Arabidopsis thaliana: one gene and its partners. The protein of the gene in region 3 interacts with the protein of the main gene of each other region in a pairwise test. Each region holds a gene or a part of one and is shown on either strand. Other genes may lie near its edges. The genes, in order: NRT1:2, AT5G51910, PYL11 and MYB77.

What was found.
Region 1: the proteins of PYL11 (region 3) and NRT1:2 interact in binary tests that used the Arabidopsis thaliana proteins (3 or more experiments, as listed by UniProt).
Region 2: the proteins of PYL11 (region 3) and AT5G51910 interact in binary tests that used the Arabidopsis thaliana proteins (3 or more experiments, as listed by UniProt).
Region 4: the proteins of PYL11 (region 3) and MYB77 interact in binary tests that used the Arabidopsis thaliana proteins (3 or more experiments, as listed by UniProt).

Annotation. Positions count from the first base shown.
Region 1 is NC_003070.9:26,295,181-26,303,030, forward strand, and holds NRT1:2 (nitrate transporter 1:2), read right to left. Parts: upstream 5,505-7,850; 5' UTR 5,228-5,504; coding exon 5,225-5,227; intron 5,095-5,224; coding exon 4,989-5,094; intron 4,854-4,988; coding exon 4,636-4,853; intron 3,271-4,635; coding exon 2,842-3,270; intron 2,767-2,841; coding exon 1,765-2,766; 3' UTR 1,360-1,764; downstream 1-1,359. UniProt on the Arabidopsis thaliana protein: Low-affinity proton-dependent nitrate transporter. Involved in constitutive nitrate uptake. Not involved in histidine or dipeptides transport. Involved in (+)-abscisic acid (ABA) transport, but not in gibberellin, indole-3-acetic acid or jasmonic acid import.
Region 2 is NC_003076.8:21,093,503-21,098,132, forward strand, and holds AT5G51910 (TCP family transcription factor), read right to left. Parts: upstream 2,390-4,630; 5' UTR 2,307-2,389; intron 2,201-2,306; exon of another isoform or gene 2,106-2,200; 5' UTR 2,084-2,105; coding exon 1,202-2,083; 3' UTR 1,064-1,201; downstream 1-1,063. Other genes in the region: AT5G51900 (Cytochrome P450 family protein), read right to left, coding at 179-445, 491-952; AT5G51920 (Pyridoxal phosphate (PLP)-dependent transferases superfamily protein), read right to left, coding at 3,700-4,630.
Region 3 is NC_003076.8:18,602,619-18,607,020, forward strand, and holds PYL11 (PYR1-like 11), read right to left. Parts: upstream 2,060-4,402; 5' UTR 1,969-2,059; coding exon 1,483-1,968; 3' UTR 1,372-1,482; downstream 1-1,371. Other genes in the region: PYL12 (PYR1-like 12), read right to left, coding at 3,946-4,402. UniProt on the Arabidopsis thaliana protein: Receptor for abscisic acid (ABA) required for ABA-mediated responses such as stomatal closure and germination inhibition. Inhibits the activity of group-A protein phosphatases type 2C (PP2Cs) when activated by ABA.
Region 4 is NC_003074.8:18,556,386-18,561,684, forward strand, and holds MYB77 (myb domain protein 77), read right to left. Parts: upstream 2,942-5,299; 5' UTR 2,667-2,941; coding exon 1,761-2,666; 3' UTR 1,222-1,760; downstream 1-1,221. Other genes in the region: AT3G50050 (Eukaryotic aspartyl protease family protein), read right to left, coding at 1-173, 260-380, 459-730. UniProt on the Arabidopsis thaliana protein: Transcription factor involved in auxin response. Functions in auxin signal transduction and modulates lateral root growth. Interacts with ARF response factors to promote auxin-responsive gene expression.

The DNA of each region.
Region 1 (7,850 bases), on a different chromosome or scaffold from region 3:
TTTATACCTGAAAAATCATCAAATTCTAGATTATGGGTTATAAAAACAAATACAAGATTCTAAATAATAAATAAAGTCGACGAGAAGAAGATTATAAAAATCATTTCTTTAAGAATATTTATTCAACGACTAGTAGACTCAGATTCTATAAAATGACTTTAAAAAGTTGACTCTTGTTCTAAACGATTCAATAATTATCAAAATCTTACTACAAAACCCTAAGGAATTCAACAAAATACCCAAAAGCCTAACAGTTCCAAAACCCACCAGAGAAGAAGAAGAAATCAAAATCCACACACGAAGAAGAATCCTAAAATTGATGGGAGTCAAAAAGAGTCCACGAAACAGAAAGACACAAATCAACAGTAACAAAACAAAATTAGATTACGAAGAAGAGAAATTAACACACTTGGAGAGAATAATCTATGTGCCGCGTAAAGGTAAAGGAGGAAGCAAAGACGCAATTATAAGCAAAGCAGAGAAAGTTGGAGGAAATTACAAAGGAAGATTCCGCGAAATTACCTATTAGCAATTTGATAATTAACGAAATATTATGAGCTGTAAGATCGTTTGCTCTTTATTGTTGGGATTTTCCTCTTTCGTCTCTCGGCAATCAGTAAGTGTTAATATTTATACCACGACTGGTACTAAAATGGGATTCCTGGGATTTAGCTTTTATTTCTATTAAAAAGAGATTTTAGTTGAGAGAATACAAATTTATCAGTACTTATCCAATTCTTTTTTAAGAAATTGCCAGAGTCATAATCGCTGTTTACAAAATTTATTTACGAAAAATTTGGACAAAAATAATTCTAGTTTATATTTATTTCAGCATTAATATTTTATCATAATTTTGGATTTTTTTTTCAAAAACAATCACCTTAAATCCCTTGTGAGAAATTTATTCTAGCTTTGAAAAATTGTTTCAGAAAAAAAAACTGAGTGATTACTTTTTCATCGTTTTTTGTCGACAAAAAACAAAACAAAAAAAAGATTTTAAAAAAAAATAATTACTCTTTTTCTGAAACAAAATTTTCTTAGTAAAGAAAATTTTGTTTCAGAAAAAAAAAGAGTTTTTTTTTTATTATCGTTTCTATATAGTATTTTAAGTGTTTTTTGTAAATATATAGTATTTTAAGTATCTTAACCTCTACTATCATGATATCTGATGTTTGTCTAGAGAGATTTAAGGAATCCAAATTAATCAATTGTAGTATGTTTAGACGTAAGGAATCAATTTGTCTTCAAAGAAAAAAACAAAAGAAATGTTTTGATTATAACTTTACTTACCACACTACATGACTGACCAAAACCTCAATAAATGGGCTTTGTTTCCTTATTATCTTCCAAGCCATGTCAAAAATATTTGGGCCTCGTGACCATCGTTTTCTCACACAAATGACAAAAAATCCTTGGGCCTCCTTATCCATCATTTCTCTCAAATTCCAGTTCTTTAGTATCTTGCTGAGAATTCAAATAAGTATTCACAGAATTTCCAGTATCAACTTTTGTGAATATATCAAAGATCAAAACCTTGACTCAATTTCGTACACCACAAGAACAAAAGAAAGACTTAAAGCAAGTTAATATCATTCGCTGTACATTACTTGTCCAACGATAAAAACTTCAAACCCCAATATATACCTGATCACAACATTACTACTTACCCCCATTTATCATCTCTTATATAACAGCCGCTCAAGTAAAAACATTTTCTGCTCTAATTAAAAACAAAAAAAAAACTCAAAAGTTGCCCATCCAATTTTAGCTTCTTGAACCAGTTGATCTATACTTGTAACGCATTGCCCAAAAGAGGTAGTGCAAGAAGTTAGCTGCACTAAGAACACACATTAGCCAATAGAAGTAGTCTAGTTTGTAACGGTTTATGCTTTTTCCTCTGAGCCAAGGTGTGTTCCCTGAGCTTCCTGTGATGCTGTTTACTATGGACACGATCACTGAGCTTAGGTAATACCCCATAGCCAAAGAAGCCCACGAGAGCGATGTTGCGAGAGATCTCATTGAGGAAGGTGCTTCCGTGAAGAAATACTCTAGTAGTCCAGCTAGTGTGAATAGATCGGCTGACCCTAGGAAAAGATACTGAAGTGCGATCCATAGGAAAGTCACGGGTAAGGTTTCTTTCGAGTCAAGCAAGCCGGAGTCTTTAGCCACTCCCTTTCGTTTAATCTCAACTAGAGCTGCAACCGCCATTGCTAATATCGAAAGAACTAAACCTACTCCGATTCTTTGTAGATGAGTGACTCCTGTTTCGGTCTTGGTAGCTTTTCTAGCGAATGGGATAATGAGATGGTCGTAGATAGGTGCGAGGATCATTATGAAAACGACGGGGAAGATCGGTAAGGAAGCTGGAGGTATCTTTAGGCTTCCTATCTTTGTGTTCATGGAAGCAGCTTGTTGGACGGAGAATGTAGAGAGCTGAGCTAAGCAACAGTTAAGCATGATAGTGCAAGCAAATATCGGAAGCATTTTCAAGACAATCTTCACATCTTCCACTTGTTGGACTGTGCATTCTAACAATCTATGGACAGGTTTTTCATCCGCAGCTCCATTTAATACTTTCAAACTGTTAGTTAGTTGTGCCCGAGGAGGCAAAGCTTCTTCTTGACGTGGCTTTTCCAATTCTCCTTGTGATTCAACTTCTTTTTTCCCCTTTGATACGCAATGATTTGAGGGACTCACGGACATACTCGCAACCGCATTGCTTGAACTTCCACTCGAGCAGCACTTAACCGAAGCCGCAAGAAGAACCTGAATAAAGAAATCATATACATAACTTAGGGCACACGTCAATCTCCAATAAGAGCTAAAGAGGTCAAAACAAACCTTCAAGATTGTGGTGAGAGGACTTCCACATGGAATCTTGTTCCTATAAAATCTTGATCCAGAGAGAAAGATGAGAATAGAGACGAAGATAGCAATGGTAGAAACACCGAATCCCCATTCCCATCCTTTGTTGTCTTCTAACCAAACTACAAACGTGACAGCAACTAGTGCTCCACAAGCAAGACAAAACACGAAGTAGTTAAAGAACGTTGACCTTTGTTTCCGACCTTTAGGTGTACTCTCATCAAACTGTTCTGCTCCGTGAGATGCTAATGAACCTTTGATCCCTCCCACACCCAAAGCTACAAGGTACAACCCCACGAATAGCATCGCTGCCTTCGAACCACTCACTTCTTCACATGTGGGACTATCGCACGATGGAGGCATTAAGGATGGTGTCCGAGCTTGAATTGTGAGTATGATCAATCCCTGCACGTTTCCCAAATAAAATTTTAATCCTATTGATTTGTTAAAATCATTAACTAGAGACGGTTATTTTTTTGGGATTAGCAAAGAATAGTATGGGAATGGGACCAGGGGCACGTGAGAGATTTTAACCCTTGTGGTTCGTGAGAGTCAGATCAGCGACGTGATACAAATAATTGAAACCGTTATGAACGATGAAACGTCGTTCGTTATTAAATGAGGTATGGACAAAGCCTAATTTTCGTGTGGTCGCCTCATTGGCCACTGCCTTTTCTTGAAGAAATAACTTCGGTTACACTGACGTAACACCAGGGTTTTAAAAGTTTTGGACTCTAGTATACATTATCCAATCATATATTGATATATGTTGATTCTAGATGAATGTATATGGAATATAAATACTTCATATCATACAAGTAAATGACTCAAATCTATAAAAAGTGACAAGGAGATTATAAGTTAAGTCAGCTATATATATTTTCTTGTAATCTGTTATAAGTTTTCTAATGAAGTTATGATAGTGTATAGGTATACATGAACCATCAATATCTCTATCCATAATGGGAAGTAGAAGAGTGAGCGTTTGCGTTTGCGTCCGGCCAAACGCTACCCACAAAGCATTAAGAGCCCCAACTGTACTTTAGAACTACAAGTTTGTTTTGTCTTTTGTAACATTAAGTTGCAGAGTCACGAGGGTACGAGTGGCAGATGTTATATAAGTGGACATTATAGTTTCATACCCTATCATACGTAAAGACAAGATAACAAAATAAAATAAAAAGCTTGCTGTGTTACTGAAACCCAAGAAAGAGTTTTTAAATTTCCTCTTTTAACCCTGAGACAGTGACAGTTAAAACTGATAAAAATACGTTTGGGTCCCGACCTTAACATACGGATTTTTTATAGATGTTATCACGTATGTGTCGTGTTAGGATCAAAACAAAGCATTGCTTATAGATACGGATACGGTACCGTATCAAAGTCACGCTCCTCTTTGCTTTTGTCCTTTTTATCAGCATCCTAATGCACGCATGGTTCGTTGGATTTTTTTTTGCTACAACCATATTTTCATGTGTGATAATTTTCTTTTATGCTAATAATTGTATAGATATACATGTGGGATCTATTTTAATGTGAACGGATTTATGATTGTGGTGGCTTAGCCATTAAAAACAAAAGTCAACGGTAGTAACTTAAAACTTAAGCGATAGAGAAAAGAAAACTAAAGTAATCTAATGGATAACAAAGTTTCTGAATATTTTTATAAGTGGAGTTTGATTTGTTGTTCCTTGTTAAGTTTAGAAATTTTAAAGATTAACAAAATGTAAAAAAATGAAGTGATTATAAGAATGATTAAGAGAGGTTTACCAAAAACTCGATGGAAGCTGAGATGAGGAAGATTTGAAAAGTGGAGAAGAAAGCGTCGGAGAGGAAACCACCGAGGAGAGCTAGGAGAAAAGCTGTGCCCATGAAATTGGTGACGTCATTTGCCGATTTTGATGGAGACATGTGCATGTATTCTCTTAGGTATAGCACAAGATTACTCGCATTCGCCAAATACGCTAGATTCTCTAATATCTCCACCACTTCATAAGAGACAAATATATATGAATCAATCACAATGATCCATTAGAGAATCGTTCTTAATATAAATGTGTGGATGATAAAGAAAAAGATGCATTAAGAGAATCGAGGGGTAAATTTGGAATTTTGAAACTGACCTAAGACGAAAGAGGCGGCGAGCATGCCACCGTGACGGCCTTTCACGGCTGCTCTGTTTCTCCAATCGGCGTAGCCTTCCCATCTTGAGACCTCTTCTTCCACTTCCTGTAATAATATGGCAAAGAACAAAACAAGACTTTGAGAAAAAGACATATATTTCTATAAAAGGAAACATCATCAAATATTGATTTCTTGAACGATGAAGAAAATAATGTGAGAAGCTTCAAGAACCCACCATTCTCTCTCTTTCTTTCTCTCAAACTTTGAGGTAGAGGAGATATAAAAAAAGGTTTTTATGAAATATAAGAGTGAAAGTGAGAAGGGTATTAGCGGAATTTAAAGAGAGGAGAGGAGAAGGGATTGAGGAAGGGTCCAATTGGGTGAGAAGAAAGAAGAATTTGGGCCCTCTTTATTATTAGAAAATGACTTCATGTTGTAGTTTTCTTTATGCTCTTCTTAGGAAATAACATTGTTTTCTTCTCCTCTAGAGAAAACTAGCTTTATTTCTTTGTTTTTAGGGCACTAAAGATGATATTAATTCCAAGAATTTATAAAGCTAGTAATATAGTGGTGGAATAAAGACTAATCAATCATGTTTGTTTTCCCTTTACTTAATATGCAAGTTGATTTTGAAATGGGGTTTCCAATACCAATTAACATATGAGAATTGATTTTGTTCTATTATTCTCTACAAGGTATAGTGGTAACAAAGTTTAAGGATTGATTGCATATCGATTACTCACATTATATTATTCGTTCACATTTACATGTTAATGAACACTAAATTCTTCTAGATAGTTAAAGAATGACATAGATTGTTTCACGTAAAATAAACTTTTAGTCTACCACATTTATCTGGTCATAATTATTAAATAAAATACACACTATATTTGGGTTTGGTTTGTTTAATGGAGAAGGATGCAAGTAAATCCAAAAAAAAAAAGTTGAGGGCAAGATAAAGGTGATGGAAGGAATCAAGCCCTCCACTTAATGGCTTTAAAATAAATTTAGTGAAACTATCTTTTTGACTAAAACAAAAATGAAGTAGAACATTCACTTAATCTAGACCTACTGATTCCTCCTCTTTCTATTCATGGCAGTTTTCATTGCAAAATATCTCCAATAAAATGATGTTACTAATTACCTCTTTTGACGTCTTAAATTCTTTTGAGATAGAATCATAAATAAACTATGTTTTTGTTTGTCGGGTAATATTGAACTATATATGTTAATGGCTGATATTTGTAAACCATTTTCTATGTACTTTTTATTAGCAATTTAGGTAAAAAAAATGTGATCGTATTTTTGTTTAAAAGATAAAATAAACTGTTGTCTCTATATATGATGGTTTTGCCAGAAGATCTTTCTTTCGGAACTCCATTAATATTGGATACGTGTCGTCTACGCAGAACTTTATTGTTACCACGCACACAAACACACACACACACACAGTGTGAAGAAAAACTTATTTAATTTAATATCGCATATATAAACACACACTCACTGATCAGTGACGAATGCTCGGAGGAGCTATAGTGGTTAAAGTAATTTTTGTATTTGTACTGCCAATATATCTAAAATTCAAATTGAAAGTTCATATATAATAGAAATAATAGACAATAAAACAACAAAGTAACCATTATCATGGCATGGATACAAGAATATGCTGAAATTTAACTAATGCTTTTTTTTTAGGCCAGTGCTATTCTACTATTCTCAGAATTGAATATATTGATTATTCCAGTGCCATATATGAATACGTATTTGTGTGTACGTGTATACATGTTGGAGTATATGATTCAAATTCACAAGGACAAGGCTCTAATCACCCTGAGGTCTTTTTATAACGAAGAATCCAATACTGTTTGGGAGGACTTTAACATTAAAGTGATCTCATGCAACTAAAGAAACAAGTTGCATAGACAAGTGTCGTGTTTTTCTTATCCATGCAATATTTGTTTTGTTTTCTTGATTTATTTCCCTTCCATTAAGGAATTTTATTGTAAACCTGGTTCAGTCTCTATTGCAAACTTTTTCTCTTCAGAATTTATTGTTGTGGTTAACATAAACAACAAACCACATCCTTTAGTTAAAACACTGTTTTTTTTTTGGTGTTAATTTTAGTTAAAAACACAATTGTCAATGAGAAATAAAATATTCCGGTGAATTAGAAAGCATGTACCGAAAAAAAATCCGAAACATTAATTATCTTGAAATATATAGCCGCAATATATTAATTTTCCAATATTCAACTCTGTGGATTCATTTACAAACAATTATTGAATTTGACTAAGCGTACCACATAAATTTCTGCACTAAAGTGTTAAAGACTCGAGAAGAAAATTCTCTTTTTGTTTTTCCTAGCAAGATCGATAGAATTAGATATCATCTGTTTATGTTAAAAAGACTGTTGCAAATATAAAAATACCTAATAAACCATTTTACAAAGTAATCTGCAGAAAATAAAACAAAAGGATCTTGAGATTGAAGCTTCTTGAGGTTTGAAGGACACAACAAATACCAACCATTCTCCACTTCCGCTTAATTGTGGCAGTGACCGACCCTCTCTTTTCTCTACATTATTTATTTCATTTTCAATTTTTTAGAACTCTTTCTCTCTTTTCATAAAGCATACAACAAATTGACATTAAATTATACGAAATATTCATAACCAAAGTTCTTTAGACTGCCCGTGAAATTATATCTTCTTTTTCTATTTCCCTTTTATAATCTCGTCTGTATATGAGCTGTGATATGTTTGACTGCTGACTTCTCCATTTCATGGACCTGACTTGAAGCTGGGAAGATTTTTTTTCTTTTTAATGCTTTTTTATTTCTTATATTATCAGTTCTAAAGTTGG
Region 2 (4,630 bases), 2.5 Mb from region 3:
GAGTTACATTCTTCTAAACTGTCATTGAAATCATTAAAAAACCATTACTATAATTTGTCTACAATAAAAACTAAACCTCAAGGTAGATCACACTTAAACTTGTCTCCTTATTAATACTCTTAATTAGGCTATGGTTTCGAAATAGAACTTAAAAAAGAACTTGATTATTTCACTAATATCAAGATGAACATCTCTTGTTAATCTTAACCTTAAAGCCATGCTTCATTTTAAGAATTAAACTAGTATCTGGCTCAAACTTCTGCCCGTTGGCAACCTTGATGTCATAGTTTTGTAATATCTCCACCGCCACAATCTTCATTTGAACCATAGCTCTTTGTTTACCATGGCATATTCTCGACCGGCATTGAATGCTAACTCTCCGGTCTCGGAAATCCATCTCTCTGGCTTGAATTCTAATGCATCTTCTCCCCATACAGCTCTCATCCTACCCACCACCCCATAAATAAAGACCAAAATCTTGTTTAAGTACATCTTTGTTTAAGTACTCCATTGGATCACAAGATGGTCTCTCTTGGCCACTACAACTTCTTGGTAGATTCATGTCAATCTCTTGGCGAATCTTGGTCACCACTAGAGGGTTTTCGGACAAAAACCAAAAGAACCAAGTGAGAGCAGAGGCAGTGGTATCTCTCCCAGCTAGAAGTAAAGCAAAGACATTGTCTCTTAAGAATTTATCATTGATAGGATCCAAGAGCTGGTACTGGGTTGTATCAAGCTTTATGTGAGATGTCAAAAGATTTGCATGACTATCTCTAATGAAATGATCATTATTATTCACTTGTGATCTTTTTACCTCTTCTCTCCTGGCTGATATGTATTTCCCACACACTCGATCAAAAATGGCACCAGCTTCTATCATCTTCTTCTCCATCCCAACTCCGATCCAGCTTTGTAGCTTCCACGAGAATCTAGGTTTAACGTGCCTATACATTATTCCTTCTACTATTGTGTCGAGAGCTTTAGCAGACTCAACCTCTGGCGTTTTAGCAGACTCATTTTTAATCTCATTTTGATTTATTTTTTAAAAATGATAGGATAGTTCCATTAATTACCAAAATGTTTGACAGAAACATAAAATTGAAATTGTGCTCCCAATTCTTTTACAAATCTTACTTAACCTAAATCAGGAATCAAACTTACTAAAAACTAAAAAGAAACTAGAACTAAGAGTTAAAATTCCTTAAGTCTCATGACATGAAGACGGAGATGAGTTCCCTGAGCCACCCAAAAACTGAAGCTCTCTCTTATCATAAATCTCCAACGAAAAATCCCTCAGCGGTTGCGTCGTTCCGCCACCGCTCGTTTCCATCTCCGCCTCAGCGTCTGAAGCGTTTGAGACATAACTAGACACCGGTCTAGCACCAACATTCAGAAACGGAGCTGTAGCAACGGTAGGAATAGCCCACATTTGGCCCATTTGATCCGGCCCACCAGTAACAAACGCAGTACCCATACCCATAGGCCAAAACGGCACAAACCCCTGTGTATTAACGTTCAGGATATTAACGCCGTAGTTTGACGCCGTTATCGGAGCTAACCCAGAAGTAACGGAGCTATGACAGCTGTCATTAACGTCTACGAAATCGCTCGTACAGTTTCTCTTCCTCCGTTTCTTTATTAGGTCACCGTCACCGTCACGGCCGCCGTCATTCAACACTGGAGAGCTCGTCGGGATTTTTAAAGTTCCGTTAACCGATACAGCAATAGCCGGTACAGTTCCGGTTCCGGTTGCTTCAATTATCGCCGGTTCAGCTCGTTCCAATAACCACCGTATCGTTTCTCCGTCGGATTTGTGACCAAGTTCACGGGTCAATTGAAAGACCCGAGCAGCGCAACCCGCCGGCATTCGGATCCTCCGACCTCGTCCTTCTACTTTCGTGTGACGGTCTTTAGAAGTCGGTCTCTTCGGAGCCGGTTTAGTCTTCACCGGCTGCAAATACCCGTCTTCTTGTTTCATGAGCATCATACCCGGTTTGGTTTTCGGATTCGGGTCAGACAGATGGGTCATGGTTGTTACTTGGTCAATCACTTGTATCGCGTTGCCTTCGTGATTCGATTCCATTTACCACAAAACCCTAGAATATCTGAATGTCACAAAACTTCAAAATCAGCCGAAGAATTGATTCAAGTAGGATATAGTCAAAATGTTTAGTTTTTACTGATTCTTTTGACGAAAAATGTTATCTGTTTGAATTTGACAGATTGAAAACTAAAGAACAGTGGATAAAAAAAAGTGAGGAAACCCTACAAAGGTAGAAAAATAAAATTAAAAAACCACAGCTAACCTTATCCTCTGCACGAAGAACCCTACAAAGATGGAAGAAGGGGCCCTCAAGATCATCGTTTTTATTTTTATATAGTCCCATTACAAATCAACGGTCTAGATCACATACTTCATATGGGCCTGTTTTAGCTAACTAATGGGCCTTGGCCTCGACCACATCACAAGAGTCATGTTGTGGAGCTAATTTTTTTTTTTTTATTGATAGTTGTACAGTTGAACCGGTTTCCATTTAAGAAGTGAACCAAACCAACCGAATTGGACAAAACCGAGCCATAACTAGGGCAATACAAAACTTAGCTATCTCAAAACTGAGTACTATTGACAAGTGCAGCTTATGTTCATTTCTGAGTATTATTGACAAGTAAAACCATTATTGTCTTGGTCTGAATTCTATCACCAAAACGACTAGTCTCTATTTTGATAGCATGTTACTGTTTTCGTAAAAACCAATTTGGTGTACCTAATCCCTTGTTGATTTTGTTGTATACAAGGTTGAAAAACTTTGGTCCCCACGAGAAGATTGGAACTGCGTAGTAAAACAAATAGTGCATGATTTACAACACCAAGATTCCAAACTACTCGGTAAATATTCTTGCAAGCTTAGGGTAAGCTTTATAAGAAATGATGGCAACAAAAAATGTCAATTACTAAGCATGACTCTCGAAGACTAGAGTATGAAGCTTGGAAATAAGGTTTCACCCGCCAAAAAGAAAACAATTCACTATTCATTATTTAATACTATATTTATAAGTTAAAATTATCAACATTGGTCATTTGTAATAATCTTTTGATGTTGACTACTAAAAAAATAGATTAAATAAAAGTATTATTCCATATTTTTATAATAGATTGATGTTTGGGATTTTTTCACATATTAAAAAAAAAACATTATCTAATCATTAACATTTTTTATATTAAATATTTTTAAGTTTAATTATGAGCTAATAAAATTAAAAGTTTAATTATTTTCAATCATTGCATTTTGAAATTTAGTATTTATCATACTAAAAATAAAAATAAAAATAACATCTAGAAAATCATTTGTGCAATAAATTTTATAAAATCAAAATTTTTAACAACCGAAGAAATATATAGCTGATATGGGTTTATTTTAGTTATTGGGCATTCATTTGCCCCGTTCATATCTACTTGACATCTAGGAATGAGCGAATTGTAAATAAATATATATGAGCTACCTTTTTTCGAAAGTTAATTATTTTTTTTTGAATCAGTAGCAAAATCAAAATTAGTGGGAGATAGAGGTGCTACTTGGACGCTAATGTTGACGCTGACTTTGTACTGAACAAAAATCAAAATTTTCATTGATACTTGAACCGGTTCTGATGTAAGAAGTGAACCAAAGCAAACCGAGCCAAAACTAGGCTATATGTTAACTAGACTACTTCACGGTTCTTATGTTCAAAAACATGAACTCCACATCTCACACTCTCTTTATCAACAAACTCTGAATCCAAAAACCGAGCAACGAATATCCAAAGTTTATAAACATCTTCGAAATTAGCAAGAAACCCTAACGCAGCAGTGAGAACAGAGATCCTTGGTTCGTCGACGTCTCTGTTTCTTTTCTTCTCAAAAACTCTATCTTTCACGCCTTCGTAGTCTTCTTGGAACAAGATGTTCTTCAAGAAACTTTTACCGAGTGAGATGTTGCTGCATTCGGCTAACTTCTGCACGATAAAAGGTTCGATTTTTTCGCCTTTATGGTTGAATAGATTGAACGCAACCGCTGGTCCTCGATTGAAATTAACTTTCGGACCGTAGATTTTAACTAGACGACTAGTTGTTGAATGTTTGAGTTTGTAGAGAGCACTTACCAACCAATTTATCAAGCATCTTGATCTGTTCCCTGTTGCTACCAACCCTAGTGAATCTACATGATCTAGGCCTTTGTATTCGACACTAGAGCTAAAGCTATATGTTTCTTCCGAATCTGTTTGTGTTCGGTTGATTTCCAACGCGTGTAATGAAATCGGATTGTCGGTAGGTACGAGGTTAATCATACCTGGACCAGTGGAAGATTCAAGAATCGATATGGTGGATTTCTTGACAAACAAGCAACCAAATCCGGAAGGGTTTTCTCCAAACACCTTGTAGAACGAACACACCATGAAATCGGGGTTATATATAGAAAGCCCGAAACTATCCATATCCTTAGGTCCCAAACCGCATGCATCGATCATTACATGCCACCCATTTTCTTGTGCCACACTCATCCATAGATACGGATACCTAGATCCTGTAACCCTAGAATGAAGCGGAAAGACGTAAATACCTTTCTTCTTCGTCTTGCTTCCGTTTTTCCCA
Region 3 (4,402 bases):
TCATTCTTGAGTAACCAATTCATAAATAATGTAAGACATGCTTTCGTTATTTTGAGGGCCACGCAACGTTTTTGATAATTCTTTTAGCTCTCTGCATAATGTCATACCATGCTATATTTATTCATCTTAAATCATGTCCAATCATTGTTATTGTTTTTAAAAAAAATCTCCAATCATTTTTTTTTCTTTTGCTAATATCCTATTTCCTGCTGTTATAAATAAACAGAATGTATGTATTTTTATATATTTTTCTTTTTTGCAACAACTAATTTTAATTAGATATTAATTAGGGTTTGATACAAACAGAATAGCCTCTTTTGGCAAAGCATCAACTTGACGATTTAGATTTCGAGATATGAAATTGAAAAGGTAATACGCGAAATTAGCTAAAAAATAAAGATAGGTTGTCATGTAGAATCTTGTAGAGATCCTTGTGATACAGCTTCAAATTGAGTACTTTGATAAGAATTTTCCAATCTGAAACAAAGAAGTAAATGGTAGAGGCCGATTCAGTTGTAACTCTCATCGCAACAAGAGTTGCCAAAGCTGAGGAGATCGGATGTAAGAGGCAGTGGAATTTCCTTTCAAAAGCTTCATAATGTATGTATATAGCTTATAGTATACAAGTAATTGTGCACGTTTTTTAGTGCAGTCGTTATTTATTGTCTCTTTCTTGGGCACTATATTTTAAAGTTAGAGGAAAATAAAAATAGTAACATATGGTCTATTTTAAAGGAAATCATGAAAGTATATTGGCAAACAAAAAAATCATCAAATACCTTTTGCTGTTCTAAAAACTACTCCCAAAAATAAACAAGGCGTACCTTCTTGTAATCAATAATGTGGACCTTAGATGCATCGAAACAAGGTGAAGAAGATAGCAAATTATTAATATTGTCATTTAATATAATTTATTAAATACCAAACTCTTCAAAACTGTCTGTAAATGTTCATTCAATTCACCAGCGGCAATTTTGTTTTTATGTAGAAAAAAAGGACCAACGTCTTAATGGAGTGTTTTTTTAAAAACTTTGGAGGCTTGGACCAAAAAAAAAAGTCACCGACCCCTACATTTAATGTACTAGACTATAGACTTTTAAATGTTGAGCATGTTTCATTAACCGGATAACAAAGAACCCTAAATTTGCGGAGGTGAAAAGGACAGGGTAGAACTAGTGATTGTCTTTCGCATGACAACTGCTCTTAGATATCGTGGAAGATCCATTGCCTATCATTCAAAAGCTCTGAGCCAACCAAGAATCTATTTCTAGATTTCTACCACATCAAAATTACAGAAACTTTTTTTTAAAATGAAATAAAAGAACAAACGTAAGATACTAACTAACTTACTAATAATTAAGTTACTAACAAATACTCCTTATATTTAATATTATACATATACTTACTTATTTCCCATCGACCATGACTATTGCTAGTTGAACCTGATTATAATTCTTAAAAACTAAAACTATAATCTAAAAATTACAACTTTAGATGAGCCACCCTCTCCGAGAGCTTAGCCAATGACTTAAGATTAAACCCAACGATTGTATCAGCAAAAGACGTCGTTTCCTCCTCACTATTTCCTTCCGGCACATCCACCACATAACTCTCCACCACCACCGTCTTCTCCTCCGTATCCGCCGCCACAAACGCCATCGTTTTCGACCGGTAATTAACCAAACGATGATCACCACCTATAATGCTAATCATCATCACATGAGACTCATCGTCAAGTTCATCTAATCTCTCTCGGCTGAACTCCGCTGGAAGACCGGAAACCACCGTCACTTCACGGACGGAGCCTTCTCCTCCATCGCCGGAGCTTAGATTGCACGTTTTCACGAATTGTTTGTAGGCTTGAGGGTTATCAAACCGACGTAGAATTGACCAAACTAGAGATAGTGGAGCATCTATAGTTTGTACTAGTGTGGAACCGCACGTATGATATTTTTGAGAAGTTTCCATTTGTGTATTGCTGTTTTTTTGACGAAATTGTCCTTTTATCGACCGTTGTTTTGTGTGACAGTATCTTCAAACCTTTTTGAAGCTTCCATGCATTAGTGTTCGAGTATTTATACGAGAAATATCTAAGAACAATGCCGACTAAAAAAAAATATGAGTTGTCATTTTTTGGTGTTTTCTGCAAAATATGAATGTAATATCAAGTAAGAAAAACTTTGTTGATTTGTATAACATAAGATGATAAAAAGAAGTTTAAAGTGTATATATATTTTAAAAGAATACATTGTAATATGCACATAAAACCAAAAAAATGCTTTAAAAGAAAGACTGATTAATCAGTGTAGGATGTGTAGCATATGGTGACAATATATAGGCATATGGCTACATATTTGTCCGTAAAATATATTTAAATAAATTGTAAACTTTAGAATGCACATTTGTTTTGTAACGTCATTGTAATGAAGAATGTATTTCGGTTAAATTTGGAGGGTTATGACATGGATTGTGGAAAAACTAGTGGCATGTAATAGATCCACGTTTTCGATTTCGTTCATACGAACCACACTTATTTACCACACATTTATAGACATTGTTTTTGTTGATAAAAACTTGACTAAATGAAAAAAAACAAACAAAAAAAAAACAAACAAGAACAGATGAGAGAGGGAAGGACATATCTTTAAACGCCAAGTTGAGAACAGGCCCAATGAGCCTACAGATTAAAGATCCATTTGAAGCCCAAAATAGCATCACTTACTCCTTCAGAAGGTAAAGATAATTGAACCGGAAACCGATAAGCTTAACCAAATTGTATTTCTGTTTAACTTTTATAGGGTCCCTTTTTCTTTTGTTAACAATTTGAAAAGGACCAAATAATTGAACCTTCGATCGTAATCGCAATCTCACATTTTCAAACTCTTATATTTTAATCTGATCAAAAATAAAAATAGACACACAATAAAATAAAGTTAAACAGAATAAAACGTTTACGAGTTCAGTCGATCAATATGATTAGAGATGAAAATAATTTCGGTAAGACTTTTGCATGCAATCTATCAAGATTCAAGGCCGTATTTTAGCATATGTAAGTAGGATAATCGAACAATCCTAATTTTGTTTAAGAAAATCTTAAGTAAATATGTATAAGTGAGGTTATTTTTTTTTTTAATTGTTTACCAACATATTAGCAAAATGTTTTTTAAATATTACCTTCAAGTAAAAATAGTTTGAAATGGCTCTTCATTCTACTAGTATGTAATTAGTTTCTTGTGAGAAAAAGTGTAAAAATAAGTAGAAGTTGAACAATTGAGCTACAGCCAAATATAACAGAATTTAAACTATTTTTCCTCTTTAAAAAGAAGCTGTTGGAGACGAAGGGTTAATTACATTAATTACCATTGTATTTCAACTTTTTGTATTTTTTTTTTGTGCAAGAAAAAAATGAATCATAAAATATACTTTTTATTTTATAAGCGAACTATGTTTAATTTCTTCACTTGCACATGCTAAAAGACGCTCTTTGGCATCAAGTTTCAACTGAGAAGGTATAAGACACTGAACGATCAGAGTCTGCTTTAGAAAGCTATTTCGCTGGACACGTTAGTACTCACAAGTCAATTCCTGTTACAACAACAAGAGTTTTAATCAAAAGAAAAAAAAATGATTTTAACTTTTTAACTTGAATGATTTCAAAATTTGGCTTATATCAATACATTTACAAAGGAGAGTTTAGAAATGGACTCAAACTAAAATTGTATATACTTTTGGGCAAACAGAATAATGACATTTAAGAAAGAAACTTAAACAATTATTTTTAATTTCACAAGACATATAAATACATAATTATACCTATATTATTCCCAGTTGAATAAGCATATTTTGCTAGTTGCTATATATCCAAAACCTCGTAAAAATGTAAGAGTTTTACTTTTAAATTCTAAAAACTAATACTATTATTACAATCCCACGACTTTTACAACTTTAAGTGAGCTCCATCATCTTCTCCGATAACTTAGCCAATGACCTAAGATTACACCCAACGATAGTATCAGCAAACAACGTAGTTTCTTCCTCAGTATTTCCTTCCGGCACATCCACCACATAACTCTCCACAACCACTGTCTTCTCCTCCTCCGCCGCCACAAACACCGTAGTTTTCGACTGGTAATTAACCAAACGATGATCACCACCAATAATGCTGATCACCATCACATGAGACTCATCGTCAAGTTCATCTAATCTTTCTAGGCTAAAACTCGCCGGAAGATCGGAAACCACCGTGACTTCACGGACAGAGCCTTCTCCTCCATCGCCGGAGCGTAGTTTACAAGTTTTTACGAAATGTTTAAATGTTTTTGGGTTATCAAATCGACGTAGGATCGACCATACTAGAGGTAACGGAGCATTGATAGTTTGTACTACTGTCGAACCGCATACA
Region 4 (5,299 bases), on a different chromosome or scaffold from region 3:
TGGCTTTCATTGCCAAATGAAATAAGATCTTCTCCAAGAACACCTTTACTACTACTATGTTCAGCATACTCTCTCTCGTAAACACATTGTTCTCTATCATCATCACAATTACAATCCATGTTACACTTAACAGGTTGATAAGTGCTAGACATTTCTGGCTGAAATTTTGGGTCCTGATCAATAACCATAAGAAAGTTTCAAAATTTGCAACTTTACACGAGACAAGACACAAGATTTGGATATCTAGAGCCATCATTACCTGGTGTTTGCCACATTGTTCACAATCAGAACAAGGAACATAAGTAACAGTACTACCAGAATCAACTATAAGAGCAAACATTTGTGGTGGTGTACCAATCCAAAGCCTCGTAGTGTAATACCTACAAATACGATATAATAGTATATAAAAGAGACATCTTTACATGACCCAGATCGGGAAATATGGAAAAGGAGATTACCCATTAATAAGAAGATCGTCGTAGAGTCTCATGCGAGAGTGAGGAAGTGATTTTGAGTCGGATTTGTGGAGTTTTCGATGTGGGATTGATATGGATCTCGAAGAAGAATTTGGTTGAGAGAGGAACAATGGGAACACCATGGGACGTCGTGATCTAGCGGTTGGAGATTGGTGGAGGAGGTTGTTTTCACCAGCTGTGATTGAATAAGGAAGAGATAAATAGATTAGGAGTGAGAACGTCGCGCCGATTGATGAGATCGACGGCAGTGCCATTTGATCTCCGGTTGGATTTTTCGACCGTACCGTCGGAGAAAATTGGAGGGGAATCAAAAGAGCTGAGTGAGTGGAGAGAAGAGGGGAGACTCGAACGTAACTTTAGATCTACGGGAACCAAAAGCAGCTTTCTTTGAGACAAAACCCAGTTATTGAAACGACGTAGCTTTTGTGTTTTTAACGCATTTTTTTAACCTCTACTTTTTAACATCGCTGTACCAGTGTTTATTTATACTGTAGAATGGTTAAATAACATAAAAATCTTCCTACAATTTATTTGAAATCTTTGGCATGTTGTAAGAGATTTTACTCTATAGTAATTAAAAAGTATGTATTGTTTTGTTGTTGTCAGTTTTTTTATAGATTTAAAACGAAAAAAAAAAACTGATTTTCTAGACAATGTATTTATTTTTTGTAAGAATGTAGAAAGATTGATCTAATTTTTACGATAATTTCTAAATTGTCGAAAAATAATTATGTTAACAAAAATCCGATTTGACAGTAATTAATTTTATATAAAAGTGAAGTAATCTACCAAACCTATAGAAAAGGTTTAATTACTATCTATAGACTATAGAGTAAATCTCTTACAACAAGCAAAAGATTTTCAAATAAAAGGTTCGAATGTTTTCAAATAGATGTTAAATCTATACCTTTGTTGATTTTGATACTACATGTTACAAGGTCTCACTAATCATGGTTACTGTATAGCTCTATGAAAGGATTAACATGAAATTCATCTATACAATATGTAAGAATGTAGTTATCCTACATTTTGTTGACTAACTCAGTATGTCTCTTTGTATGATAATGTCTCACTAATCAAGGTTCAATTTTTAGATTTAGACTTGTTATAGATTTTGGTTATGAATCACCAAAACAAGTAACAAATATTTGAGATTTAAGATTATTCCATAGAAATTTTAATTCCTCTGTACATTTTGTTTTTGTTTTTAATTTTACCATAAACCCCAAAAATGAATGCTCTTGAAAATCCCCAATCGATTCAAGTTTTAACCCTAAACCAAAACTACTCAACCTTAGGTGTTATTACTCCACAATCCCTAAAACCACCATTGCCGCCGGATTCGTATAAACCTCCGACGACGAATCCACCACTTGTTTTCTGCATTTCCGCCATGTAACTCCTCACTTCAGCTTTTATCATCTCCTGCACCACCGTCATAAACTCACCTCTACGTCCTTCTCCTCTCTCCTCTACATTAATCTTCATCTGACTCTCAAATCTCGGAAACATCAACGCGTTGTTGTTATTGTTATGGCTCGAACTCGTGTTCTCAGCTCCAGGTAGTGACAAACTCAACGAAGTAGGTGGATCCTCCGAAGACGAAGACATTTCAACCGGTAACGGCTGCGGAACCACCGTAAAACCGCCGGAAATCGGCATTGGTTTAAACAGCTGAGCAACAGGAGACGACGGTGACGGAATCGTGCTAGAATCACTAACATCGATTCCGTTAGGACTCTCAGGACTCATGTACAATCCAGTATCCACCGGAGCAAAAGCAGAATCAAAGCTAACAGATCTCCTCTTCTTCGGCCGATCCTGATCTTCCTCCGTCTCCGTCACCGTCGTAACCGCCACACCTCCGCTGCATTTCCTCTTAAGCGTAGAGTTCCAGTGATTTTTAACGGCGTTATCCGTACGACCGTTAAGAAGACGAGCAATCGTCGCCCACTTGTTACCAAACTGAGCACGGGCGGTTACAATAGTCTCATCTTCCTCCGGCGAGAAAGGACGATGCTCAACCTCCGGAGATAACTGATTACACCAACGTAATCTACACGATTTACCAGATCGACCTGGAATCGATTTGCTAATCGCAGACCAATTCCTCGGTCCGTATTTCTCAACCATCCTTCGTAGCTGCTCATCTTCTTCTTGACTCCATGGACCTTTAACACGATCCGCCATTGAAACAGATCTTTTGTTTGTTTGTTGTAGAGAAGAAGAAGAAGAAGAAGAAGGTGGAGGAAACTGAAGAGAGGAGAAAAAAGGTATTTATAACAGAGAGAGAGATAGAGAGGAGGATGGATAATAACCGGTAACCGGTAGAGACGGTGGAGAAAGTCATGCACCGCTTCTTCCACGCAAGCGGTTTTGAAAGTTTTGGGATACAGCTGTAGGTGTACACGTGTCGTGATCTCGGTGCGTCTGTTTATTAGTTTATGGAGCGTGTGATACAGTCGAAAGAGAGAAAGGGGAAGCACGCGCGCGTGAGAAGAGAGTGGGAAAAGAAGGGAAGTTAAAGCGACAAAATCACGGAAACCTACAAGGAAAGAGCTCTGATATTATTCGCACAATCTGAGGTGAAAAATTAGAAAGCTGTTTTGAATGTTTATTTGAAAAATAATAATAATATCTGAGACGATAACGGTTAGGTTTGGCAGTTTGGGTAAAGACAGTTTTTTATGCAGATTTCTGACTTTTTTGACTGGACACGCCAGCCTGTATTCCTTGTTATGCAAATTTACCCTTTTCTCTGAAACTTTTTTCCTTTTATTTTATTTTGTAGAATACAAAACGACTAATTTGAATTTTTTTTTGAAGTTACATAAGGTTTAAAGTTTATGGGTCGGGAAATATTGGAGGATAAAATTTGATCACAGTGTTCTAAAAATATTTTTGTTTAATTTAAATGTTATTTTTGTTATTGTATTGTATTATTTTCAAATTGGATGATATATTTAAACAATAAAAATAAAACTGAAATTTTTGAAAATATAAATGTGTAGAAAATATAAAACGACATTAGACTGACACAAAAATTAAAATGCAAAACGACATCTAATTTGAAACGGAAAACGTATTAGATGTTTTTATAAAATATGTTTTGATTCGTTGAACTTGAAACGATATTCGTAACGCTTTTGACCAATAAAGTTTATACATAAAATCTGCATAGAATATAAAACGACGTTTAATATGACACAAAAATTAATATGCAAAACGACATTTAATTTGAAACGAGAAAAGTATTAGCTACTTTTAAAAAAGTATTTTGATTCGTTGAATTTGAAACTATACTTGTAACGGTTATGCTACGTTTTAATTATTCATAGATTTCTTTTTTTTTTTTTCTCGAGAATACAATACACATAATTTAAAATTTGTATATTTTTAAATTTTAAAGTAATTGCAAGTATAGAGCTGGCACTCTTGAAAGTAAAATTTTGATTACACATTTTTAAAAAAAAACATTAACTAATTTATGACTGGTTAAACAGTAATTGTAACAGTTTTGAGCGATGAAATTAATATTTTTTACTTCCTTTTGGTTTATCTTTCTAACTGAAAAAGGTTCAAACTGCCTAGTGCTACAAATTTGGGATAAAAATATTTGTATCGTTTATAGAAATGTGGTTCAGTTTTGTATGGTTTTTTTGTCTGTGACTATTTGTTAATGGTACGTTTTTGAATGCCCCAAATCAAAGTCATATAGTATTTACACAATACGGGAAACTACATTTATATGATTAGATACGATTAATATTCTGTTTCATAAACTTGTTACAAAGAAACGGCCACACAAGATAAAAGTAAGTGGTCGGAAAAATAAAAATAAAATTTGCTGACATGGACAACACGACAAAAGAGTGTTAGGCCAATTGGAATGTGAATGAAATCATATTTATTTATAATATATAGTTTTTGATTGACGAAAATCCAGGCTGTAATCCTCAACAAACAACTAACTGTCGTCCATTAAGCAAACTGCCACGTGTCAAATTTTTGGAACTGTTTTTGAAATTGTGTGTAACTGTCTCTTACGTTAGTAACGCACTAAACGTCATTTGCACCTTCTTCCCAACCTTCATCGAACGGTTTCACAACTTATTTTTTAATTTATCTTTTTCCGTATTTTATGTCGAATTAGTTACATACTAATTAGTCAAATTATAAACGGATTACCGAAACTATTTCAGTTTTGATGTTGTTGGTTTTCAGTTTACTGACCAAACTTTCCCTTAATTGTTATTTCTTTCATACTAATAATACATTCTAGTGACGAAACTAATATTATATGCTGTAATTTTGGGTCTGTAGAGATTACGGGTTTCGGCCCAAAACCTCCTAATATTTTAAAAAAATAAAAAAAAATAATAATAATAATACACTTAGTCTTGGTTATAAAAGTTAACAATATGTTTACTTTTATTATGTGTTCCACATTCTAACATGTCATATTTAAATGATGGTTTTCTTGGTGTATTTCTAATCGAAAACTTATCCTATTTAGGTTATATTATATGGGTTGAATTAGACTATAATATATACCATGTTAAGTTTTATTGGTTTGTAAACTAAATTGAGGATTTGTAAATTGTTTCGTGTTACTTTTTTTTTTTGTCGTAAATTGTTTCGTGTTACTTAAACATTGTTTAGATCTATTTCATTTCGGATCCAACATTTTATTTTGGGTCAATGTATAATTGACACGTACTTTTGCTGTACACTTAGCTAGATTTTGAAAGATGCACGTGAACATTTGGTGAACACATATACCTGAGAGACGGTGCACGATGTAGAATATAATTCCAACAATG